Ovis aries: one gene and its partner. The protein of the gene in region 1 interacts with the protein of each later gene in a biochemical or structural test. Links are inferred from orthologs where the notes say so. Each region holds a gene or a part of one and is shown on either strand. Other genes may lie near its edges.

The links. The genes of interacting proteins can lie anywhere in the genome.
Region 2: the proteins of GABARAP (region 1) and ATG4B form a complex in vitro, tested with the Homo sapiens proteins (3 studies listed by BioGRID and IntAct, with this or other methods). The link is inferred for Ovis aries from reciprocal best matches to the Homo sapiens genes GABARAP and ATG4B.

Annotation. Positions count from the first base shown.
Region 1 is NC_056064.1:26,840,318-26,850,196, reverse strand, and holds GABARAP (gamma-aminobutyric acid receptor-associated protein), read left to right. Parts: upstream 1-3,850; 5' UTR 3,851-3,981; coding exon 3,982-4,071; intron 4,072-4,609; coding exon 4,610-4,688; intron 4,689-4,826; coding exon 4,827-4,945; intron 4,946-5,387; coding exon 5,388-5,453; 3' UTR 5,454-5,879; downstream 5,880-9,879. Other genes in the region: CTDNEP1 (CTD nuclear envelope phosphatase 1), read left to right, coding at 236-352, 1,266-1,377, 1,790-1,874, 2,167-2,227; PHF23 (PHD finger protein 23), read left to right, coding at 6,956-6,989, 8,565-8,596, 8,775-8,867, 9,408-9,879. UniProt on the Homo sapiens protein: Ubiquitin-like modifier that plays a role in intracellular transport of GABA(A) receptors and its interaction with the cytoskeleton.
Region 2 is NC_056054.1:284,108-292,583, reverse strand, and holds the start of ATG4B (cysteine protease ATG4B), read left to right. Parts: upstream 1-4,631; 5' UTR 4,632-4,646; coding exon 4,647-5,031; intron 5,032-8,476. Other genes in the region: peroxynitrite isomerase THAP4, read right to left, coding at 1,186-2,369, 4,280-4,356. UniProt on the Homo sapiens protein: Cysteine protease that plays a key role in autophagy by mediating both proteolytic activation and delipidation of ATG8 family proteins. Required for canonical autophagy (macroautophagy), non-canonical autophagy as well as for mitophagy.

The DNA.
Region 1 (9,879 bases):
GTTCTATTTTTGCATGGCCTTTCTGCTACCTTGTTCTTGCATCTGTGAATCTTAAGGGGGTATGATGCCTAAAACTTGGAGTCTTAAGGACAGTTTCAAAATTTTGTGTCCTCAGAGACATGCAGTGTTGCTGAAAAGCCTGAAGGTCTTCACTGGAGTCTTAGTAAAAGGGAACTGTATGTCCAAATGAACAATCACCTCTTCTGACAGCTTCCTCTTGTCTAATCTATTTCAGGTGAGCCAGTGGTACGAGTTGGTGGTGTTCACAGCAAGCATGGAGATTTATGGCTCTGCTGTGGCAGATAAACTGGATAATAGCAGAAGCATTCTCAAGAGGAGATACTACAGACAGGTAAGGGACTAGAATCTAAGCCTAAGAATGAGGCTGGGGAGGCAGGCCATCAGGGAGGGGCTTCAGTTTGAGGCAACTGCCCAGGAATGGGACCTTCCTTTTTTTTTTTTTTTTTTTTTTTTAGTTTTAATTTTGGTTCAATATATATATATATTTTTAATTTTAAAATCTTTAATTCTTACTTGCATTCCCAAACATGAACCCCCCTCCCACCTCCCTCCCCATAACATCTTTCTGGGTCATCCCCATGCACCAGCCCGAAGCATGCTGCATCCTGCGTCAGACATAGACTGGCGATTCAATTCACATGATAGTATACATGTTAGAATGTCATTCTCCCAAATCATCCCACCCTCTCCCTCTCCCTCTGAGTCCAAAAGTCCGTTATACACATCTGTGTCTCTTTCCCTGTCTTGCATACAGGGTCGTCATTGCCATCTTCCTAAATTCCATATATATGTGTTAGTATACTGTATTGGTGTTTTTCTTTCTGGCTTACTTCACTCTGTATAATCGGCTCCAGTTTCATCCATCTCATCAGAACTGATTCAAATGAATTCTTTTTAACGGCTGAGTAATACTCCATTGTGTATATGTACCACAGCTTTCTTATCCATTCATCTGCTGATGGACATCTAGGTTGTTTCCATGTCCTGGCTATTATAAACAGTGCTGCGATGAACATTGGGGTACATGTGTCTCTTTCAATTCTGGTTTCCTCGGTGTGTATGCCCAGCAGTGGGATTGCTGGGTCATAAGGTAGTTCTGGAATGGGACCTTCTAAGGGTGTGTGTGTGGGTACTACATAATCCCCTTTTGTGGGAACTGGCTGCCTGTGGGCATTGTTGGGATTGGGGGAGCAATCACAGAGGGCGGAGTCTCCTTTTGATGCCCAGCCCACCCTGCCTTCCAGCACTGCACTTTGGAATTGGGCAGCTACATCAAGGACCTCTCTGTGGTCCACAGTGACCTCTCCAGCATTGTGATCCTGGATAACTCGCCAGGGGCTTACAGGAGCCATCCAGGTAAGGGAGAAGGCAGTGAGTCTGGCAGGACTAGAAAGTGGTTCTAAGGAGGTATTTTGAATGCATGGGGCTGGGATTCCCTGGTTTACAGTAGGTCAGGATGCAAGCTGTTTTTTTCATATGAGAGTGTTCCCTGCCTCCCCCCCAATATGTTTCATAAATCAGATTTTTCATATAAAATTTGCTTTAGGTAAGACACAAGGCACAAGTTTGACTAGAAGCCTTACCCTAGTATGAGATATGGTGATTAAAATTTAATTTCGTTTTGGAAAATAAATACAGAAGGTTTTACTTAGGTCATTGAGTTTGGGAGGGAGGTTATGTATTTTAAAGTAACCGCCCCCAAATAAAAGGGAAAACACCCTTTCTCTCTTGAACCCTTTATTCTCATGTGCCTTTTCACCCACCCTAGACAATGCCATCCCCATCAAATCCTGGTTCAGTGATCCCAGTGATACCGCCCTTCTCAACCTGCTTCCAATGCTGGATGCCCTCAGGTAAGGGAAGCTAGACACTTAGATTTCTGAGAAGAAGAGTGGTAGGGGATCCCAAGAAGGAATAAAAGTTTGTCCTGTTTTACTTCCTTATCTCTTTTCCCTAAGAATATAATTTTTGAACCTAGGTCTAAACTCCTCACCTTTAGCCATTGGGTTTTGGGCAAACTGAACCTCAGCCTCATGAGAAAATGGTGGTTCTTTCTGTCCCACGTCTTCAGTGAGGCTGCTTTACATTAGTGTGAGGAGGCTGTCCCCATGAGGACTCTACCAATGCAAGTTATTGTCGTCCCAGGTTCACCGCTGATGTTCGTTCTGTGCTGAGCCGAAACCTTCACCAACATAGGCTCTGGTGACAGCTGCTCCCCCTCCACCTGAGTTGGGGTGGGGGGGAAGGGGAGGGTGAGCCCTCGGGATGCCGTCTGATGCCCTGTCCAACGGTGAGGACTGTCTGGGCAGGGTCTGCCCCTCCCACCCCTCTCTGCCCTGGGAGCCTTGCACTCCCTACGGAGTCTGGATGGACACAAGGGCCAGATTCTGAAGCAGCCTCACTCTAACTTCGTGTTCGCACTCCTGGAAACCCCAGACTGGGACATAAGCGGAGACCTAGGAGAGCCGCAACAGTGTCTGGTGGAGAGACACAACTGGCCAGAGTGAGACAGACATTCGGTAATCCGGGAGGCTCAAAAGAGAAGCCAAGCCAGCTTTGTTGTGATTTGATTTTTTAAAAACTCTTGTACAAAACTGATCTAATTCTTCACTCCAAGGGCTGGGCTGTGGGTGGGAAACTGGGATTTTGGGCCACTGGACTTCCCCCAAACTTGTCCCCTCCTTTACTTTCCCTCTATTTGCCCTTCCTCCTAGATTCCCTCAGATCTGTAACCAGCTTTCTCTTTTTTCCTTTCCTCTCTTTTAAACCATGCATTATAACTTTGAAACCAAAGCTGCCCTAGGTCCTTCTCTGGGGTTTGGGGAAACGAGGGAGGGGTTTTTGTTCATATCCACCCTGTTCACTAGGCAGAGAGAGAAGAGCCTGCTGTAGACCCTAAGTGTAGGGGGAAGGATAGTGTTGGCTTTCCCTGGCAGGAAGGGTCTTAGTGACAGGATGGGCACCCTGGTGGGGAGTGAAGAGACAGCTGTGTGTCCTGAGAGAACCTGAGCTTCAGTGCAGTAGGACGAAGTATTAAAGGAGTAGAAACCTCGACGACAAGAAAGGCTGGGCTTCGTCTGGAAGACTGGCATGTACTAGCTAGGCAGGCGCTTCCTTCGAGCGGCGGGCTCCCCAGCCCCCTGGCTGACCCGGCCCCACGTCCCCACCTCCCCGGGGCCCTCCTCCCAAAGCCCAAGCCGGCTCTACTTCCTCGCGCCTGCCACGTGACGCTCCGCCCTTTGAGATCACATGATTTTCGCGGACACAGCAGCGGTGTTCTTCCGCGCTGACGTAGTCCTTACCTTTTAGACCTCCTCTCCAGTCCCTATTGGTCCACTCATTATTGGAACTTAAGCGTCCAGTGCGTCTCTCCAAACAGGTTTCGTTTCTGCCCTCTTATTTCCAGCGACCTCTTCCTCCACTTGGGTACTACTTTGTTTTGGTGTCAACGGCCGCCTTCAGCGTACCAACAGATTTCGTGAATAGCTATCCTTTAATTATCTGCCTTTCCTCTGCATTACTTCCGAAAAGAGCTTTCGGAGAGCCAAGTCTCAAATTACGATTACCATCTTTTAGCCCTTATCATCGTTACCTCCCTGTGGGGAAAGTCGGGAAATGGATTTTCAGTTATTTCCGACGATAGCAAAAGGCAACCATCTTTTCTACGCCGCCTGCGTAATTTACAAATTGATTCCAAAGCGATTACGCTGAGGGCGTGAGAGAGGAGGTCAGTAGGTGGTGCTACGCTACTGGCGTTAGGGCAGTTACGTCAGTGGCGTAACATAGCAGCCTGGGAGGCCCCTGTTGGCTGGGGGCGGGGTTGGTGAATAGGGAAGTGGCGCAAGTCCGGGGATCGCTCCGCTGAATCCGCCCGCGCGTCGCTGCCGTCGCCGCCGCCCCCCGTCCCGGCCCCCCCCGGGTTCCCTCAGCCCAGCCCGGTCCAGCCCGGTTCCCGGGAGGATGAAGTTCGTGTATAAAGAGGAGCATCCGTTCGAGAAGCGCCGCTCTGAGGGCGAAAAGATCCGAAAGAAATACCCGGACCGGGTCCCGGTGAGGACAGTAGCCAGGGCCGAGGGCGCGGGGCGCTGGCGCTGACGCCACAGCCTGGGCTTGAGTCCGGGACCCACAGCGCAGGCATCAGGCTGCCGGTTGTGGCGGCGTTGGGAACGAGCCCCAACCCGCTGTTTCTGGGACCGGAGGTGAAAGGAATGGGGTACCAGTAGAGCTGAAAGTGAGAAGATGTAGACTCGAGAGACAGACCTTGGGGTTCCCGTGGGAGGCTGCGGGGCGTTTGACAGTCTGAGCTTCCCATAAGGTTTTTGAAATTGAAGCTCTGGTTGGCCCGAATAAGTCATCCTCGTCTGATTAACGTAATTGTTTTTATGACGCCGTATTCAGGGATCCTGGATGTTTAGGTGAATTAGAGTCAATGGGGTCAGAATTCCTATTCAGGGCTGCGCCGCGTGTTAAGAGACAAAGAGAAATGAGTCTGGGGTACGTGTGGGTGCTAGGAATGTTGAATTCTTGACAGGTGGAGCTGTGCGTCTGTGTACCTAGTGTCTGCTAATTTTTATCTTCTTTTTAACAGGTGATAGTAGAAAAGGCTCCTAAAGCTCGAATAGGAGACCTGGACAAAAAGAAATACCTGGTGCCTTCTGATCTTACAGGTGGGAACCTGACCCAGTACTCAGATTTGTTTCCTGGGGGTGGGAGTACAGTCTCTGATGGAGGAGACTCCACATAGCAGGTGTTCTTTTGAGGGTATTTGTGATCTCTGACTTTTATTAAGCCTTGTATCTTGGCAGTTGGCCAGTTCTACTTCTTAATCCGGAAGCGAATTCATCTCCGAGCAGAGGATGCCTTGTTTTTCTTCGTCAACAACGTCATTCCGCCCACCAGTGCCACGATGGGTCAGCTGTACCAGGTATGGTGCCTGGGAAGTAGAGGAGGCTTTGGGGAGGAGTTGGAAGCGCTTGAGAGGCAGAAAGTTTGAAGTCAGCAGTTCTTGGACCAGCTGGCTTACTTAGCTCTCAATTTTATATTCACCCTTAAGATTTCCGCATCGTTCTGGGTTAGGGATTTGGACAGGGCAGTGAACCAGAGTAACCGCTGTGGTCCAGACTCCCCTCCAGCCATTCCGTGTTCCAAGGCAGTAGAGAGTAGTTTGAGATCTTATTGTCCAAGACTGTGGATAGGATAATACTGCCCAGCACTTATGGTCTGGAGCAAGTGAGAGGGAGAGTCAAAGCACTGGTGTTTGGGGTCTTCAAAAAGAATGGTTGTGGAAGAATATGTCCCAGTGGTGGGTGGTTCAAGTAACTAAAACTCTGATGCCTGAACGCTGTTGTTTTCTGTCTTCATCCCAGGAACACCATGAAGAAGACTTCTTTCTATACATTGCCTACAGTGATGAAAGTGTCTACGGTCTGTGAAGCTGCTGCCCCTAAGGTGGGGGGTCCCATTCTACAAAGAGAGAGGTGGCCCCCCTTCCTTGACCTACTCCTCCTTGAGGTTCAAACACCACCTCCCTTCTTCAGGACCTGCACTTCCTAATGTTTGAGACTCTCCTACAGACCCTCTTAACACAAGGGTTAATGGGGGAGATGGCCTCTAATACCTCTCCTTTCTTTCTTCCCCTTTCTTTACCACCTTTCCCATTCTGCTTTAGATTTCTTGATTGTCAATCTCTGTCACATCTGGTGATTGTTTTGGTTTCTGTTCCCTTTCTAACTGCCCAAGGGGCTCAGAGCCCCAACAATCCTTTCTTTTCACTACCTTCTTTTTGGGGGGTAGATGGAAGGGACTGAAATTGTGGGGGAAGGTAGGAGGCACATCAATAAAGAGGAAACCACCACCAAGCTGAACTGGATTTTTTCTTTGTGTTGTTCCCCTCCCCCTTTTGTTCTCTTCAAGTGGTGGGAAAAGAGTAGGTTAGAGGGAATAGTATATTTTGGTTTGTTCTGCTTATGTTCGGCTTTTCCTTGTGTATATTAAGAGTGTGCTTTTGTTATGAGGGATGGAATACTGAATATCATTTCATGAAAGTTCAGTTTTATATACGTGTATATGGGTTGGGTCCTGAGGTTATTAAAGTTTTTTACAGTGGGTTCCTGTGGATAAAGTTTGAAAGCACCTTCTTCAGATAAAACATCCAACTGTGTCGTAACTTTCTGGATTAAGGAAGAGATTTTCGAGTATGGGAGCTAGTGAAAGGGCTCCGTTGTCAGATGTATGTCGCTTTGCCCGGCGTGAGGGATCCAGTGGAGTGGAATCCAAGGGAGGGAGAAAACTGGGAGGAGGGAGCCATTATCACCAGGAGAACTTCATCTCCCAGCAGCCTTTCTCTAACTGGCCGGAAGTGGGGTGGTCCCCACGGAGATAGAAAGCTGCAGAATTGAGGCAGTATGGTGGCCGAGAGTTCTTATCCCTTCTTCCCGTTCTTTCTTGGCGCCGCCTAGCCTACATATCCCAGGAGCCTGCGCGTACTCTTCCGCCCTCCCCTCTGCTCCCAATCTCCCCGCCACTCCCCGGGGGAGGAGAGCAGTTTAGTGCGCCTGCGCCCAGTCCGTGGTTTGCTGGGAATTGGAGTTCCGGATGCTTATACAGGCCCCTTCTCGCTCACGGCGGACTGACTACAATCCCCTTGATGCATTGCGCGTTAGCACCCGCGAAGGGAGGGGGAGAGAGAAGGAGGGAGGGTGGAGAGGAGGAGGGAGCAGGCGGCCGGCGGCGCGGGGGGAGGGGGCCCGGTCCGGGAGTGCGGGAGGCTGTGGTAGAGGGAGGTGGCGGCAGCGGCTAGCGGACTCGAGTCACTACCGAGCCGAAAGAGACACCTCTGTGGAGCGAGGCAGTAGGAGCACCGAGCACCGGAGGCGGCACCGGGATCCCCGGCTCAGGGGAGGGGGGCGCCGAACCGGGAGGAGGGTAGGGGGCGATGCTGGAAGCCATGGCGGAGCCCAGTCCCGAAGGTGAGCTCTCGACCGGCACAGGGCGCTGAGCCGGCGGGGGGCGGGCGAGGAATCTATTGGCAAACTTGGAGGTCGAGCCCCGGAGTCCAGCAGGGGAGAGCGGGGAGGGGGTCGGGGGCCTGCCCCTGAAGGTGGGAGAGTGACGAGTTGAGAGACCTTGGAGGAAAGAGGAGTGCGAGACTGGGCCGGGGGTAGTTGGAGATTAGACGCTGTGTGTGTGTAGAGGGGGTGGGGTGGGATGGGGGAGTGGGAGCTGGAAACCAGAGCTTCGAGGGTTAGGGGCCGAAAGGGCCTCCGGCAGGTTGGGGCCCTAGAACTGAGAGGTTAGGGGAATCTGGGAGCCGTAGAGTTGTTGAGGAGAGAGGATGTAGGAGACGATTGAGTGAGGAGCTCGGTAGTTCGCCGAGGTGGGGGAGTTTGTGGCGGTGGTGCCGGAGCTCCCGGTAGTTGCCGCCGGAGGTAGCCCGGTGATTGTTGGAGGGGTGGGCAGATAGTTGTGGGGAGAAGAGGGGGCCTGGGCATTGTCTGCGGTAGAGGGACTTATGCCGGTGGGTAGCTGTGGGGAGAGGGAGCTGGGGAGCGACGAGAGCAGGGTAGTTTTGGGGGCGGTGGGGCGGGGTGGGGGTTTAAGGCCGGCGAGTTGCGCCGGAGGGGGGTTTTGGTCGGCGAGGGTTAGAGCCTGGGAGTTGCGGAGGGTGAGGGGGGCAACGGCGGCGGCAGCTGGGGTTGCTGGGCGGGCAGAGTAGCTGGGGTGGGGGCTAGAGTTTAGGGGTCCGTAGTCTTAGTGACTTGGTGGCGAGTCCGGGGGCGGAGGGGGGGCGGCGGCCGAAGAGAGCTCGGAACTGGGCCCGGGGGCCCGGCGGGGAGCCCGAGGAGCTTGAGACGGGGAGGGGCCAAAGCCCCGGATGGGGGCGGAGGGACGCCGAAATTGTGGGGAGCATGGGGGGGCAGGTGGGGCCGCGTCCGGGTGAGAGCTCTCTGGTCTGTCCCGGCCGCGAAGTGGCGTTGGATGTGTGAGCCCGTGTGTGTTTGGGGGTGGGGGGGGGGGGGGGCGCGCCGGGCCTCGTGCTCGAGTAGAAGGGGCCGGAGGGCGGGGAGCGGTTCGGCGTGGTCATCCTGGACCCTGGGGGCCGGCGGGCGGCGTGTGCGGGCGCGGAGGGCCCCGGGCGGTAGAGCGCGGCGGGGTGGGAACTCGGGGCACTGAGCGCGTGTGAAGGACAGGGGCAGGCGGCAGCCCGGGCTCGGTCCAGGGAGCGGTATGGCGGGGTGGGGCGCGGAGAGAGCCGAGGAGCTCGGAGTCTAGAGAAACCGTGAGTTGGGGGGGCGGGGCGCCAGGCCTCTGGTTGGGGGGGAGGGGAGCGCTATAGCGAGGCCTGAGAGGGCGCCGCGCCCAGGCTCCGCCCCTCGCGGGGCGGAAGGGGGAGCAGGGGCGGGCCCAGCACCGCTGGGGGCTTGCTCGCCTGGCTGAAGGACCTGGGAGTGGAGGAGGTTCACTTGGGACCGCGAAGGTTGAGAGGTGGGGTTTCACACCGACTCTTTCCTAGTGCCTTGACTCAGCTTTTATTGCTTTTACAGATCCACCTCCGACCCTTAAACCAGAGACTCAGGTGAGGGTTTCCCATTCCTTTGCAGCCCAATATTATTGCAGCCGCGCCCCCACCCCCACCCCCCCCCCCCCCCCCCGCCTGGGCCTCTCCTCTCTCCCTCCACCTTTTCCTGATTCCTCACTCTGGGGACTATGCCTTTGGAGATGCCCCTCTTAAACTCTGTGTGATTTTCTTTCAGCCACCAGAGAAACGTCGGAGGACAATTGAGGATTTCAACAAATTTTGCAGTTTTGTTTTGGCCTATGCAGGTTACATCCCCCCTAGCAAGGAGGTAGGGACAGAAGGACAACTGACTGGAGGGTGGTGTCCTAGGGCTGTAGAGGAGCTCTTGAGCTTACCAGACTTTGTTACTTTATATACAAAGCCTCAAAATTACATGTGAAAGACTTAAGGAAATGGAAATTCTGGTGGGAGAACTAGTATCTGGGGTGGGAGTGGGATTAACAGGTGGCTTGAGTGCAGTGAATGGTTTTGGGGTGTTCTTAATGGAAGGTCCTCTGGGATAAGTGTTAGGAAGCTGAAGATAGTAACAAATGAAGCACAGAAACAGCTGAAGAAATACTGCTCTGGTCTAGGGGACGCAGTGTTGTGAAGGCAGTGGGTGTTGGGGAGATGGTGAGAATTTGAGGGCAGAGGTTACATGGAAGTGTTCAAGAGGAGATGCTGAGGAGAATGGGGATGGTAATAAATTTTCTGAATTTAGTGAGATTTGGTGGTTTTGGAAGGATATTTTCATCTGTTAAGTTTGGTATGTAGAGGAGCTGAGATAAGGCTGGGCCCCCTTTGACCCTGGTCTTTTCTGTCCTTTAAGGAAAGTGACTGGCCAGCCTCTGGCTCCAGCTCTCCATTGCGAGGTGAGAGTGCGGCAGATAGCGACGGCTGGGACTCAGCCCCCTCAGATCTCAGAACCATCCAGACCTTTGTTAAGAAAGCAAAGTCATCCAAGAGAAGGGCGGCTCAAGCAGGTCCCACCCAGCCAGGACCCCCAAGGTCCACTTTCCCTCGTCTGCAGGCCCCTGACAGTGCCACTCTGCTGGAGAAGATGAAACTCAAGGACTCCCTCTTTGATCTAGATGGGCCCAAAATGGCATCTCCACTGTCCCCCACGTCCCTGACACATGCCTCCCGGCCCCCTGCTGCTCTCACCCCAGTGCCCCTTTCCCAGGGGGACCTCTCCCAGCCTCCTCGAAAGAAGGACCGAAAGAATCGAAAGTTGGGGCCAGGAGGGGGGACAGGCTTTGGGGTACTTCGGAGGCCCCGCCCAGCCCCTGGGGATGGGGAAA
Region 2 (8,476 bases), on another chromosome or scaffold:
TAGAAACCAACTGCCCAGAAAGCAGCGGGAGGTGGGTGTGTGGCGCACAGCCAAAGCGGCAGAAGGGGCCAGCCTCACCTGCAGGATCGGGAAACACGCACTGTCTCAACCCAGTCAGCACTGCCCTCCTGAGCAAAAAAGCCACGGACATAAGAGGGCAGAAAGAAATGAGGGTGAATGAAGGAGCAAGAGCAGCAGAGACCTCATCAGCGCAGGCGGCGTGGAAAGAGCTGCTACAGTGATACACTGAGGGCCGTTTGACCAAGAAGAACAGAAAAAGTGCCAGAAAGCAGTTACTAGGTACGAGAAAGTACAAAACCGCTGTAAAACACTAGGAGAGAATGTAGTGTGTGACTCTGACCAGTACATCAGGATGGGTTTGGGTTTTGCTCATTTTTGGTTGTTGATCTGGGTGGGCGGTGGTGGGGGGGGCGGGGTTTAGTCCAGGAAACCGTGAAGACCCTGTGTCACACGCCAGCCTTTCCTCACCTGCAATTAATTACAACCTGGAAGACAAAGGCGGATTCAGACTAAATGCACAACGTGGGAGGAAAATGGTTTCCACCTTCATCTACTTAACGGGCAAGAGAGACTATCCTCAGAACAAATTTTCCAAGAAACAAACAGTAAACTAGGAGGGGAAGCAGAAACAAAAGTGATAACATATAAAATATATATCCAAGCTATTGGTATAGATACAAAAATACATAAATAAAAGCATAAAAACTAGTCTAGCCGTCTGGGAAGCCCACATGGGAAAGTGGAGTCTTCACCGTTTCTTGGGTTACAAATTTCTGAGTTTCCGCAGTGTTCCTACTAGAACGCACTCTACTTCAGTAGGCGTTTGCAATTTCAAGGTTAGTATTAACATTCGAAACTACCTGATGTCAGGGATAGCCATCACAATGCAACCGTGAAGGACCTCCCTCTGATTTAGACTCTCTTCTCATCTCTAGCAGGTTGAGCTGTCTTAACTTACACTCAGACCTAATTCCCCAGGACTCTGCCTGCAGTGTGCACCGGAAGGGCCTCCCTGGCCAGGGCCCTCCCGCCACCCTGGGTCTCCCGCACCTCCTTCCGCGCTGCCTAAAACCCTCAGCTACAGCCGCCGCCCCGGCTCCCATCCCTCCAGCGGGGCCTGGAGACAGCACACGGGGGCCCCTGGGCCGGGGCTCGGGTACTGACCGCGGCCAGGGGGCAGCAGGCTGCTCAGGTGAGGCAGGCTCAGCCTCCGCAGCTGGTCCAGCTTCTGGCGCAGCTCGCGCACCTGGCTGTCCGAGCGGCTGACCCTCTGGCGCAGGGTCCGCAGCTCGCCGTTCTTCTTCTCCACCTGCTCCCGCAGGCAGCACACTTGGCTCTTGCTCTGGCGGGAGGAGAAGCAGTAGGAGTGCAGTGAGTCGATGAGCTTGCAGGCGCCCGACGCCGACAGGATGACCTCGTTGATGGACATGGGGCTGGCGTCGCTGTGCTCGCTCTGGACGGCCTCGGCCGCCGGCTTCGGGGTCACGTCGGTGGGAGGCGCCGAGGCGCCCTGGGCTGGCTTCTGCGGTGTGGCCGTGAGCGACGAGCTCGCGGGGGGGCAGGCGCGCAGAGGGCTCTGTGCCGGCCCCTTCTCGGGCCCGGGGCTACTCCCGCTGTGGCTGGGCTCGGCGTCTCTCCTCAGCCGCTTCCGCTCCACAGGCTCCCGGGGCACGGCCGGCTTCTCTCGGGCATGCTTGGAGGAGAAGCTATAGGAGTGAAGCGAGCCGATGAACTTGCAGGCCCCGGAGCCCGGGGGCGTGAAGTCGTCCGCGGAAACGCCGCTCCTGTCCACCTGGCCGCCGTCGGCGGGGTTGGCGCCCTCGTCGCCAGCATCCACGGCCCCTGTGCCGGCTTCTCCCTGGCTGCTGGAGGTGGCGGTGGAGGCCGGACCGTCCTCCGCGCGTCCTTCCGGAGGCTGCCGCGACCACTCCTGACCAGCGGTCTCCCGGGCGACCCTGGCCGCGGTTCGGCCCTGCGGTACGGCCCGCTTCAGCCTGCGGGGCTCTGGCTTGGCCATTGGGCTTGCGCTTGAGGACGACGGTGCCCCTGCAGCTGCCTTCCCTACCGCGGTGTCACTCGCCTGTGCCCTCAGACCCGCCGAGGCCCTCCCGGTGTCCCTTCTCCGGGGGCGGCCATGGCCTCCAGCCCCCCTTTTCTTCTCCGCCAGGTGGAAGATGGACGGCACGGCCGTGGGCTTGAGCAGGCGGTGCTGGTCCTCCAGTCTCTTGGAGAAGCTGTCTTTGGTGAAGTGCTCACTGCAGAGGAAAGAGTACTTGGTGGGGGTCCAGTTATCCCTCTGAACAGCCTTCAGCCACTGCATCAGCCGCTTTGAGTCCTTTAGGGGGAATCTGCAGGACAAATAGAAAATTACGAAAAAATAATTAAAAAGCCTCCCCTAATACTATCAACTGTAACAGGAGAATAACAGTCTTTACAAATACCCAGACCTGTACTGACTTTCCCATTTACAAACTTAGCAAAGATCTAAGGAACACCTTGTACTTGCAACTTATTAGTGGAACAGAAAGATGAGACTCACACTGCCTACCCTTAAGAAGCTAGAGTCCATGGGCAAATCAGAGGCGAAGGCGAATACCTCCTCCTAGGCTGCGGTAAATAACGTGCAAGGGCAGAGTGCTGGGAGAGACAGAGCCGAAGGCATCGCGACAGCAGGAAGGCTCCCGGAAGTAGTTCCTGGAAGCTCGCAGCAGGCCAGCCCTCACGGTGAACTGGGATGCAGGACTCTAGGCGCCAAGAGGAGGAAGGATGGCTGCCCACAGGCACCCCGCCCCCCCACTTAAAAGCCAGGTCCGGAGTCAGCCAACAGAGATGGGGGCAAGAGGCCAGGAGGGCACTCCACCCCAAGGTGCCCCAGCTGCCGCTCACGGGGCCGAGGGTGTGAGACAGCTCTAAGAGGGGGCGCCTGCGCTCCCGACAGACGTCCACCACCAGGAGTAAGACCACTCCCTTTAAAGAGCAACCAGCCCCCGGAAGATACTGAATAAAATACCTAACTTTTCTTTCTTCATTCAAGCAAGATCTCTGTTTAGAAAACTCTAGTGGAACTGCACGCGCACGTGTGGGGGTGGTGCGCCCACTCTGGACGGCTGTTCGCCACATCTGAGGCCGCCTAACCCACCGGAGCGCTGGGGGACCAGGCCCGGCGGCGAGTGGGGGTGGGCTGCTGGAATACCACCTCCTCAGCAAGTCCCAACCACTCCGACCTTCTAAATTTCCTCGTTGCTTTGGGAGCCCATTACCCTAAGACTCTCGCCCCACCCCCAGTTCCCAGGTGAGAAAACTACTGGCTCCGGAGGGAACGTGAGAAACCAGGGAGCTGGCATCTGCAATAACCTATTATATCTTAGCAGACTGTGACGATTTGAGACTTAGCGCTAACCAACTTCAACTTCCAGTGAGATTCTAAAGAGCCTTCGTGCAGGTATTGGAAACTTAAACATCCCCCTGAAACAGCAAAGAGAAAAGTCTGCGGCGGGAGGCTGTTCGGACAGAGGTTCTTCTGCTCACGTTCTGATACTGCAGGCGGGGAGGTCGCAGAAAACCACTCGCTTTTGAAGAGGGCTGAGTCCCAGCGCCTTCCTGGTGCGGGCCAGGCCAGAGAGAAGGCCGACCCCCACCCCGTTCCGGGCCACCCTCCGCGGCGCCACGACTCGCAGCGGCGCCCCGGCGGGGGCGGGCCGGGCCGGCAGCACGCGGCCGGGCGCCCCCCGGGACCCGGGGCCGTCCGGGGGACCCCCAGGACACAGCGCCCCGGGGCGCGTCAGTCCCCGGGGCGCGGGGTGCGTTCGCTCGGCCTCGTCCCGATCCAGAGGTCCAGGCGGGCTCCCCGCGACCGAAACGGCAGCAAAGTGACCGCGGGCGCGAGAGCACGGCCGCGCGGAGGAAGCGCGTCCCCCGCGCGCCCCGTCTCCGGAGCCTGGCGGCGGCAGCCCGAGCCCCGGCGGCTCAGGGCACCCGGCGGCCTACGACCGCCCGAGGGTCGCGGGCTCCGGGGGCCGCGGTGGCCCGAGGAGCCCGGCCCAGAGACGCCGGCGGGCCAAGGTCACACAGCGCCGCGCTGACTCACTCGCGGGGCCGGCGCCCCGAGCGCCCCAGCGTCCGGCCGGGCCGCGCCGCACCGCTCGCCCCGCAGGGCCGGGCCGGGTCGGGTCGGGCCGGGCCGGGCCGGGCCGGGCGGGGGCGTGGCCGGCGGGCCGCGCGGGCGGCGGACCGGCGGCGGCAGGCGGAGCCCGCTTACCTGTGGAAAGAGACGGCGCGCTTCTCCCCCTTGCCCTGCCGGTTGGAGCAGTTCGCGGCCGCGCAGCAGATCACCATCTCGGGCCTCGGGCCGCCGCCAGGCTCCGGCCCTCGTCTAGCCGCGCCGAGCCCCGAGCGGGACCGCCCCGAGGGGAGGGCGCGCGGCGACACGGCTGCGGGACGTGGGAGCCGGCCCCGCGGCCCCCGCCGTACGGCAAGATGGCGGCGCCCGCCCGCCCGCCGCCCGGCCGCCCGGCCCGGCTCTCGGCGCGCCCGAGGGCCCCGGCGCCAGGAGGGGCGCCGCCCGAGACGCGCGGGGCCGGGGGTGGCGGGGGCGGCGCCCCGGGCCCGCCGCGCCCGCCCGCCACATGGCGCCCGGGGCGCGTCCGTACGGCAAGATGGCCGCCCCGGCGGGCGCGCGCGCGCTGCCGGCCCGCCGCCCGCCCCGGCGCCCTGCGGCTCCCTGGCGCCGGCCTCCGCGGCCGCGGGGAATCGCCGCGGGGATCCCCGGGGGCGCGACGCAGGCCGCCGGGAGGCCGCGCGCGCGGGCCCGGGCCGCCGCGCCGGGCGCGCCGTACGCCAAGATGGCGGCGGCGCCGCGGCCGCGCAGTTCCGGCCGCGCACTTCCGGCCCCGCCCGCGCCCGCGCCGCGCGACCCGGATTGGCCCGGGCGGCGGCCCGTCGCGTCGCGCTGCGGGGCCGTCGGAGCGACGCCGCGCTCAGTCGGCGGCCCTGGAGCGAAGATGGACGCAGGTGAGGGCCGGCGGCGCGCGGGTCCGCCGGGGAGGCCCTCGCCGAGCGGCTGCGCGCCGGCGCCTGGGCTGGGGCCTCGCGGGCGCGGCGCGGGGCGGGGCGCGGCCCTGAGGCGGCGCGGGCGGCCGGCGAGGCGCTGACAGCCCTGCCAGGGTCGGCGTGTCTGGCGCCCCGGCGGCCGCTCCCGGGGGCCCGACGGCGGCCGGGACGAGCAGGGGCGGCGCGGGGCGCGGGCGGGGGCGCCGGGCGGCGCGGCGGGGCAGGCGAAGCCGGTCTCTGACGCGGCGGCGGGAAGCTTTTGTCCCCCCCCCCCCCCGCCCGGAGTTGAGAAGGGGAAACTTCAACTCTCACGAAGTTAAAGGCTGCAGGCGAGCGGCATACTTCAGTACTCACAACGCAGGGATGTTTTCTTCTTCAAATTCAGTAACTAATAAATGACCCCAGCGTTCCCCTTGATTGAAAGGACAGACGGACTCCGCCTCATCGTGTCTCAACTTCTTGGGAGCTTGCTTACAGCAATGCAGAATGTGTGGGACTGGGTTGGGGGGGTGTGTGCGCATCCGTGTCTCTCTGTGCGCTGTTTCCGTCTGTTTTCATTGTGTTTCTGCTGCGGAGGGGACACTTCTTTAATTTTTGCTGGCACGCTGTTGGGGATTTTTGTCCGGTATCCTTGAAAGCATTCTTACACCTTGAAAGGCCTTCTTTTTCCATCTCACAGCAGGGTTACTCTTTTTATAAAATCTGTAGGAAGTGATCTGTGTTAAGAACCTTCCCAACGGTACAGACTCTCCTCTGGCTTAATTCCCCCTGTTATCCTGGATGACATTGTTTTTGCTTCATTTTTTCTTCCTGGACAGCAGCTTCAATGGGCATTTACTGGACTGTCAACTTGGAAGCTGTGATATAAACCTTTATGGCCAATATTTCAGTGATTTGTGGCATCTTGTTAGTTCAACGTGTTAGGTAGTAGTAGGAGATGGTAGCCATGATTCCCAAAATGTGATGTTAACCAGATGTGTTGTGAAGCTGTTTAAAACAAAAAGGACTACTCCCCTGGATGGGGGAAGGAATAGAATTACTTACTTACTAAGACCATCCCTTGAGAGACTCGGTTAGGGTGGAGAGCACAGTGTTATGGTGGTCATTTTACCTTAAACGTGGAAGCCGTCCTGTTCAAGTTAAGAGCAGCCACATGATGGAGGCTCCATGGAACCCTGATCCCTGCTTCAAAGCAGAGCTGTTTGCACGTGAAGGCCTTTGCTGATGCTGACAGAAACGTCTAGGGTGTGTGGGTCAGTTTTCTTTCTGACCTGACGCTGTGCGTCCTTTGGGATCATTAATGTCCAGCCTGCCCTGATTCCTGGAGTCCTTACAGGTTCCGCCTTCCTGGCCAAACATTATGCAGTTCTGGTGGTTTTTACAGTCATCTGTTCAATAGCTGTGTTTATTACTGAGTGTGCGTTTGTGTCCGGCATTGTTCTACATCTTGGGACTAGAGACGTGAACGAAGTAGACAAAAAGTGTGTGCTGACTGACGTGTTAGACGTGACACCCACGGAGTGGCTCGTGGGAGAGTGCTGTGGCCCCAGCAGGAGGGAGTTGGAATCACCAGAATGGCCTGGAAAGATCTCACCACAGAGGCAGCCAGTTTTGACTGGGACTCAAAAGCGGTGCAGGGGGAAGGGCCTGTGGCCTGCTCCGCCAGTGGCCAGGGCGCAGTGGGTGGGGGTGAGCGAACTGAAGGCGGGGCAGCGAGAGGGTCTGGTCGTTGGACTTGCTGGCTCGTGGCATGTGAGTGGGACGGGGCTGCTTCAGGGGCCTTTTCAAGGAGCAGCGCGGCTTGCACTGGCTGCTCTGCTGTAGAGGAGCAGGAGGCCCGTCAGGAGGCCGCCGCAGTGAGCCAGGCGCGGGCCTGGAGCCCCGGGTCCTCGCAGGGAGAGGGGGTTGGGATCTGGTACCTCTGCAGGTCGGGGCAAGGAGGACAGTGGTGGTGGGAAGTGTGAGGGCCAGCCACGTGTTGAGAGGGGTTTGAAGTGCCGCGGTCTGTGGCTTGAGCTGGGACATGCGCGCGGGGAGACCTGGGGAGCCGCACTTGCTAGGGAGATGTTAGGAGGTGGGTCTTGCAGGGGGCGAGAGTGAGGCACCTGCTAGACGTCTGTGCTGTGTCGTCCAAGGAGCCTCGGGTCTGCGGGCCTGGAGCTGAGAGCGGAGGCCTGGGCTGGAGGTAGAAGTGTGTGCGGCTGGTTTGGGCAAGGGCTCTAAGGGCCTGAGTGGGAGGGGAGGCGGGGCTGGAGGCCCAGGGCTGCTGCCGGGCTGCGGGTGGCAGGCCAGACCCCAGGCCCGTCCTCACAGCCTGCTCTGGTTGGCACTGGACTTGACATGCTGTCGGCTCCTTGAGGACAGGGTTGGTGTCTTGTGCTTCATCTTTGGGCTTTGCCTGTGTCTGACAGGTAGGTGGTTGGTGATGGAAGCAGCAGAACGTGAGTTGCTGGTGATGCACCTGGTCCTATCCTGTGGGTGTTCCCGGGCTGCAGGGTTTGTGTATGATGGAAACCCGCGTGTTGGTGTAACGCGCAGGGGATGAGGAGGGCAGTCAGGCTCACTGAGGGCCGGCTGGAGCCCCTTCTCTCCGGTGTGTTCACTGGGGTGCCCTGGGCAGTGTCCTGGTGCCCCTAAAGTTCCAGCTTTTCTTTCCTTCCATCTATCTCCTTCCCTTGCTTCATCTTTTCATTGAGAACTGTTGCTGTTCAGCCGTGTCCCACTCTTTCTGGCCCCAGGGACTGCATCAAGCCAGGCTTCCCCGTCCATCAGCAACTCTCGGATCTTGCTGAAAGTCATGTCCATCGAGTCGGTGGTGCCATCCAACCATCGCATCCTCTGTCATCCCCTCTCCTGCCTTCAGTCTTTCCCAGCATCAGGCTCTTTTCTAATGAGTCGGCTCTTTGCGTCAGGTGGCCAAAATATTGGAGCTTCAGCATCAGTCCTTCCAGTGCCAGCATTTTCATATAAACTATTTGGGATTTGAAAATAACTACTTGCAAACTTGTGATTTTAAACATAAGCATGTTCGTATGGAAGAAAAGAAGGGAAGACCCTTCTTTTGGTTTTGTTTTAAAAGCATACATAACACATGTTTACAAAGCATAACACGTATTTATAAAATATAATCTCCCAGAAATATACACGTTGGGAAAACGTCTTTGAAGTGTGGTACGTTACACTGAGCTCTAAAGAGTTCTCATGGTGTGTGCTTTCGTGCTCTTCCCTGCTTGAGTTACTGTGCAGTTGAGACCAAGTCATCTGGCTAAGTGTATTGAGCACAGTTTGCTATTTTTCAATCATGTTAATAACATTAAATTGAAACATTTAAAAATAGAATTGCCATTCTATTTGTGGACTTTGTGTTTTCTCTTCCTGGTGTGATCAGGGACACCCTTGGGAGGAA